2 linked regions of the Drosophila melanogaster genome follow. The protein of the gene in region 1 interacts with the protein of each later gene in a biochemical or structural test. Each region holds a gene or a part of one and is shown on either strand. Other genes may lie near its edges.

The links. Proteins that work in one complex are often made in the same cells at the same time.
Region 2: the proteins of side-VII (region 1) and beat-IV form a complex in vitro, tested with the Drosophila melanogaster proteins (one study listed by BioGRID).

The regions. Positions count from the first base shown.
Region 1 is NT_033777.3:9,738,338-9,742,094, forward strand, and holds the start of side-VII (sidestep VII), read right to left. Parts: upstream 1,643-3,757; 5' UTR 984-1,642; coding exon 917-983; intron 614-916; coding exon 484-613; intron 392-483; coding exon 183-391; intron 53-182; coding exon 1-52. Other genes in the region: Pnn (pinin), read left to right, coding at 2,672-2,805, 2,862-3,631.
Region 2 is NT_033777.3:23,555,408-23,559,164, forward strand, and holds the start of beat-IV (beaten path IV), read left to right. Parts: upstream 1-2,004; 5' UTR 2,005-2,466; intron 2,467-3,757. Other genes in the region: CG10164 (uncharacterized protein), read right to left, coding at 1-600.

The DNA of each region.
Region 1 (3,757 bases):
GTAGAACGCTCAACATTGGAGCTGTCTCGAATAATAACTTGTTTGGGTGGAGCTGGGTAAATTATAGGGGGATAGGATACAATACTATTATTATATACTCCAACAGATTGTTTAAGGAACTCAAGTAACGAGCAAAACCATAATTATAGCTTCCTGTTGCGATTTCAAAGTCAATTACTCACATATGACATTGAGCCTAATGCGGCTGTTTATGGTCTGCGCTTTCAGGAAGTCCACGCGACATCTATAAGTTCCGGAGTCGGATGCTTGCGTATTCTGAATTGACAGTTTTCCCGGTTCCTTGTCAAAGATAAAATATGCTCTATCCCCAAATACGGAGTCGTCCGACCATCTTTTCGGTGCTTTGGATACTCCAGCTCGAATGTCAATGCTAAAGATATATGGATGATAGTGTTTCGTAACAAGCAGGTCAAGTAAACAAAAAACTAATGAAAAATTACAAAATTAGTTTTATTAGTTTACCTGTAAATTGGAGTACCCTTATCATCTCGGTACCACAGAACCAGCACAGGTTCATCACCATCATAAGTTGTTACATTGCAAGGAAGATAAATATTTTCACCAACTATAGATTCAATTTGGTGAATTGGTACTGGAAAAATTAAGTTATAATTTGTTTTTATTTTAAGCTAACCATTTAAGATTTGGAAAGCTAATAATATACTAAGAGAAAATATGTAGGTACATATATATATATTTATATATGTATATATCACATGGCCTTAGCCGGTTAGCTAAAAAAGATATGTTAAATCAACCAAACCGCAATCAAAAATTTTTGCTAAAGAAATCAAAAAAAGTTTTACAGTTACATTCATTAATAATTTAATCATGCTCATTTTTGGATACTATTTTTTAAGCATTCTGAACATTGAAGATACAAGTTTTGACTTACCATCTTTACTTCCGATGCTGGATTCTATAAGTTGAAGTGCTAGCATAAACAGCAGCAGTAACTCCATGTTGTATATTTATTGGAATAGCACTGGTTAGTTGTTGATTACATCGACTTAATGACTTTCATATCTAGTACGCTATTGGCCACTATTGCAGATTGGTACGTTTAATTGGTTAGAAGTTACATTTTATCATCTGAATTTTCACGGAAGATGAGCACACCAACACTTGTGCATGAGCACTCAATTACACATCTACACGGGATATAACATTGTATGTATAACACATAGGTTTATATATTTTGCCAGTAGTTGCGTACACGGTATATCTAAGTTAAAGGATATTTTCGAGGATATTTGATAGTCTCGTATTTCATTTAGCACTGAAAACTGGTTAATAATGTTTTGAAGATTACTTAAATGGTCACGGTTTTGATTTTATTCAACGAACAAGTATGTATGTATGCGTGTATGTCTTTTCGTATGAACTGGTATATGTTTGACAAAATTCCAGGATACACTTTACTATATCTTATTCTTGTATGCGCACATTCACAGGATATTGAGTGCGGTTTCACTCGAAATAAATGTATTAAGCCATGCTTGAACTACTGTTTTTTTTTTTTTAATAAAAACCAAGGTGGAAAATAACGAGCACTGGCAGAAAGTTATATTACTTTTCTAGCCGCGATGCGAAACTAACACGTCGAAATTCCATCGCACTACACCTGCAAACCTGGGCTAAAAAGCTCCTCCGGCGGGCGCAGGCGCTTCGCAGGAAGCTTTTGATGTAAACATTGCAACTATGACCTTTGTACATGTGAATGTACGTGCATCCGCTTGTCTCGCTCAATATAATCGTCCTTCTTTTCTCTGAATATGATGTGTAATTGGTCGGCATCGAAACTTTGACTTCATACTGCACTCATTTCGATATTAACCCCTATTTTAGATGTCCTTGTCCATAGGCTTGCGTGTCCACATCGACATCACTAATTTCACGCTGTCCATTGTAATCTATTTTAAAAACAAGCTGAAAAGTCACGGAGGCGTGCAGGTCCGACCTTTTAATGTACGCGAAAGTACATATACTGTGAAAGCTCTCCGGACGGACAGCTGCAATGGTTCTCTCGACTTCTCTCGCTCTGATGACCGTCTTATCCTTTTTGCCGGACAAAGAAACTGAAACCTACGCAGTCCGCCCATGGTATCTAGTTTCATTTCATCTGCGAGTACAGATACTTTCAGGCGGACGAGAGGTTCAAGTGGGGTTACGTCAAGGTGCATGAGACTAGAAATGAGACTTAGGACAGTCACTTACTGATTGCTGATATGATTACTTAATCATAAATAAATTGGTATAAACAAAAACTATTATCATGTCATTGTTTTTAAATACAAATGCCTTATAAAGTTAAATTGAGAATACAAGAAATGTAGTTATATTTTTTTTATAGGGGATTCCCGAACAAGCATTTGTAATTTTTTCCCCATAGATAGTAGTTGGAGATTATTTCGGATTTTGAAAAGATAAGGAGATCGTTTAAAAGTATATAACAAATATATATATATAAAAGTAAAAACTATCGATGTCCCGTCACGACGAATCGATAGTACCAGGACCATCGCTGTTTTCCGCCAGCACTAGTAACCTCTCATCCCTAAGTATTGTTTTTTTACTTTTATGAGCATCTAATTGTACCGACTTAAGTAAAATAATTAATTAAACAAAACCTAACTGAAACGTGGGAACAATGGTGAATGACTCTGGTCTATCGACAGTGGACGACTTGGAGCAAAAACTGAATTCGGCCAAGCAGTCGCTGGTGATCCTAAATGAAAACATTCGCCGCATTGCTGGTCGCGTCCCCAAGGAATCCCTGCAGAGGTATGAATCCAAGTTGTGCTTAATTTAATTAATTACTTAATGCCGCTGCATTTCAGATCGGAAAAATTCAAATACACCCAAGATGGCAAGAAGAACGAGCACAATGGGGACCGACCGTTCCCCCGAAATGCAACACCCGGTGGGGTCTTCAAAGACAAGCGGCGAATGTACGAAAGCAAGAATCCAATTTCCCGTTTCCCAATCGAAGAAAACGAGGGTCGTCCGCCACGGATTAACTCGCGGGTCATCCGGGAGATGCCAACTAAAAAGGAGATTGTCGAGGCACAGGGCACAGACTCTGAGTCGAGGGCCAGGAATCGCAGGATGTTCGGATCGCTGTTGGGAACCCTACAGAAGTTCTGTCAGGAGGAATCGCGACTGAAGAGCAAGGAGGATAAAAAGGCTGAGATCGATAGGAAGGTGGAAAAGCAGGAACTGCAGGAAAGAGCGATGCTGAGGAAACAGCGTGAAACACTATTCTTAGATAGGAAAAAAAAGCAATTCGAGATCCGTAGATTAGAGTACAAAATGGCCAGAATGAAGGACTTCAAGGTCTGGGAAGCAACTATGTTGAATGCGAAAAATAACATCCGAACAAAAACGAAACCACATCTGTTCTTTAGGCCAAAAGTGCATTCGCCTAGAACGGAAAAATTGTTGAGCAAAAGCAAAAGTGAAGCTGATGTGTTTATAGAATTCCGGCGCGAAGAATTGGAAGTTGAGCTTAAAAACTTGGAGAACATGAACTTTGGGAAGATGGAAGACGATACTGCAATAGACGAAAGTTTCTATGAAGAGCCTGACGACGAAGAGCAGTTGGATAAGTGTAAGTAAACTTCAGTTTGCACTAGGGCTTGAAATATGATCGTGCGGATATCGCTGTGTAGGGCAATTGGGTTTCAATTTATAAAACTTATTTATGAAACTTTAATTTATAATACAAAAACCAGAT
Region 2 (3,757 bases), about 14 Mb from region 1:
GAAGGTGTCTTGCCGGCGAAGGCCTGAAAGTGGAATCAAGCTGGTGCAACGTGCCTGTGGAGTTGGTTCTGCTGGTCCAATTTTCCCATGAACATTTTTCATCTGCTCTAGCGTGCAGCAAATCTGATTCATACCTGGCATAGTCCGAAACAATAGTTTGCTGTCTTCTATTTTCATGTTGGTAATGCTAATGGATGTATCTTTCTCTTCCAGTCCAGCAATACTAAGGCTCTCCAGATCCTCTTTAAAGCGGCGCTCATTATCTGCATCATTCAGTACAGCCAATGCTTGAGAGCTTAGGTTTATAGGCATATCTAATTCTGGAGGTGGTTCTTCATCCTCCAGGAGGGGAAAATATTGCTGCTCTATATCTGCCTGAACCTTTTTCATCCGTTCCTTTTCTATGGAACTAAGCATTGCTTCCAAATCTGAACGATCCTCATATTTCGCACAGTCTACCAAAATAAATGGTGCAGCCTGGTCATCTATCTCTTGGGATTGGGGTTCCACGTTCAGTCGAATAGGCTCCGTGTTGACAACTCTCGATGGTTCAGGTTGTTCTACTTTTGGTGTCCGATCTCTACGACTCTTCTTCTTCATGACGGCTGAAAAATAATTATTTTTAGACTAAAAAATACTATTTGTTAAAAATATTTAATCAAAAATATACTTATTTTCTACCATCACATTTTCACATAAGCCTCCTAATTTTTTTTCGTACACCTTTTTATGTATCATTCAAGTCAAATTAGCAGCGCCAATCGCATTGTGCTTGATTGTGGCCAAGTCGGCAAAGCCGTGATTAGGCCAACAAGAAACACTCACCTGGTCGCCACGAACTCGATGCTGCCACTCCCACGGTTGTTGTTTCGCTGTTGGCTCGGCTGCAAACAGAAATTTAAATCCCTCAAAAGTACTCGGCGAAGAAAAACGAAATTGAAAAGGATAAAAGTTTTGCGTGCCCCAGAATCAACAGGGACGAACCTTCAGCCCCTGATCCAGCTTCTGCTCCTGAATTTTGCTCCTGTCTTGGCTCCTGGGCACTTGTAGCTGCCTCTGGCCAAAAAGTGGTGGATAGTAGGAGGAGCGTTGGCGGACAGGAACACAATCCGTAAACCAAAACTTTATTTTGTGCTGATAAAAACTTAAATGTTGCTGCCGCTGCCACGCAATCGTAAATGTTTGATATCCCCAAAGGTTAACAATTTCCGTTGCCGCTTGGATCTGCTCTGCTTCGGCCCAAGTTAGTTTTCTTTATTTTGTTTGCCAAGAATTTTGCGGTTGGCCAACTAAACCGCATACACACAGCTGGTGTGGGAGTGTCTTTGGGCTGTCTGTTCGACTGCTGTGAATGTTTTTGTTTGTGTCTAGAATGGGACCAGGAATACGGATAGGGCCCCTGCTACTTGGGGAAAGGCGTACTCTGTTCAATTTAGATCATCTATGTGGAGCTATAGGAATGGACAATCCTGTATTCCGGGAGCTGGTGTTCCCAAATTTTGATATTCAAAATGGTTCTTCGAAAGTCACTGCGCCTGACAATTACGGCAATGCTTTAAATTATATTGTAAAAATAAGAAAACGAAAATGTTGTTCTCCATCTAATACTTTCTCACTCATTACAGCAGAAAACGAATAAATATATGCAATTTCTTTCTTAAATTGTATAAAGAATTTATATTTTTAATAATCAACTCTGAACTCAAAACTACGATTTCCCTAAAAATTGTGAGAGTAAATGCTTTTTTAAAACAAAGCAAATTAAAGCAAAGCAAAAATTTGAAAGTAAAGCAGTAAGTATCATACCAAGAATTTAATTCTTAACTGAGCGTGAAGGGCAGAGCACTAGAAATGCCCTTTCTCTTAACTTTACGATATTCGCAGCCCCACTCACAGGACTAAAAAGCTCTCTCTGCCGCCCAGAACAATAAGTTCCGAGGACTCGGCTCGAAGCGCACACGACGATTCATAAACAAATCGAGCTGTTCCTGGCCGTGGCGATTCAGTTGAATTCGTTACGAGCTGGCGAAAGGACGTGCTTGGCGGTCGTCGTCGTGGTGAAAGGCTATTATATCGAGTGGCATTCGGTGTCTGAGGTCCACGTTCGTGTGTCAGAGTTTGGCCAAAACTAAGGCGCGAAAACACATTTGCGGCGAGTGCGATTTTGTCGAGTTTTACTCAGTGTTTTCCATCGAGCTTTCTTAGCTTGCTAAAACGTGTGCGGGCAATTAAAGTTTCTAGCGTCCCACTGACTGATGGTCGCGCAAATGGCCATTGCAAATTGCATGTTTTCGTGGCGAGTAGTGCATGTCGCAGCATGACACCGAGAGCCCAATAGCAAATGCATGTGAGCCAGCCGAAGAGGGCTTAAAGTGTTTTTTGGCCAGCCCTTGTTCGCCAAAGTGGAATTATCGTCCAGCAAGACAAACGGCACGCAAGGCCGGGCTAATGAAAGCCCCATCAAAGGCAAGTGCAAATTTGTGCTAGGGGTTGGGCAGGAAATCTAATTAAAGACGAAATGGCAAATGCGGAGCATAAAATAATTGCAAATGTAGATGAAACCTGGTGGCAGCATGTGAGTCCCAGGAAATGGGTTTCGCTTGACAAAAAACAAAACCCCAACCACACAACCGAAAGGAATTCGCATACATATCAAATTTATGAAAGGCAACCTCACACACACATTTCCACATGTGGCTATGTGTGTGTGTGAGAGTGAGTGCCCTGGCCAGAACTGAAATTTATTTATTTGTTTTCCTTACTTACGAGGCAGAAGGGACAGGAAAAAGTAAAACTACACCGGCAGCTGAGTTCGGAAAACTCTAATAAAAACAAATGTTGAACAATGGATGTGTGGCACTTTAAATTACTGAAATATGTTCGCTAGTCTTGCAACTTTCAGTAACATGAGAAAAATGATTACCTATAAAATATTTTTAACACTTGTTCAATCATTTTTTGATTATCCAATGATTAGTCCTTTTGTGGCAAAGTCCTTTAATAAACACTTACCAAGTTCAGTTCGTTGGCTCTGGGAAAACATACAGAGGTGGTCAAAAGTATTTTCACAACGCACAATATTTGCAAACTTCAACTTCTTTTTGTTATATTTCTTCTTGTTGTTGTCCGATTTGCCTGAAATAGTTCTTATCGCTTAGCTTGATCTATGCAGAAGGTAGTCGAAAAGAAATACGAAAGATAACGGTTCATAGTACAAAGCTTAAAGCAAAAGAAAATATGCATGCAAGTTGTCAATAGTATTTTCACATGTTTATTGCGCTTCAAAAGTATTTTCACTCAACTTAATTTAGTAAATTTCAGCTTAACATCTAATTTCAACATAAGAATTTCTTTATTTTATATAAATACAATACTAATATTTTGTAACACCACCTTTGGCATCAATAACTGCTTGAAGTCTTTTTGGTATTGACCTTACCAAAGTTTGTGCAAATTCTAATGTCAATTTGGACCAAATCTCCGCTATTTCAATGATGGCTCCCTCTCGTTTTCTATTTTTATCAATAGTTCGTTGGTTTTTAATAAAAGCCCAAACGTTTTCAATGATATTAAGGTCTGGGCTTTGGGGGGGCCACGGAAGAACCGCCAGATTAAGGTCGTTTAAAAATTTTGTTGGTATCCTACCCTTATGGCATGGAGCATTGTCCTGCTGAAGAATCCATTCAGTAGTTGGAAAAAGTCTATTTCCAGACGTAAAAGCATGGTTGTTTAAGATAAGAAGGTATCCGTTCTGATT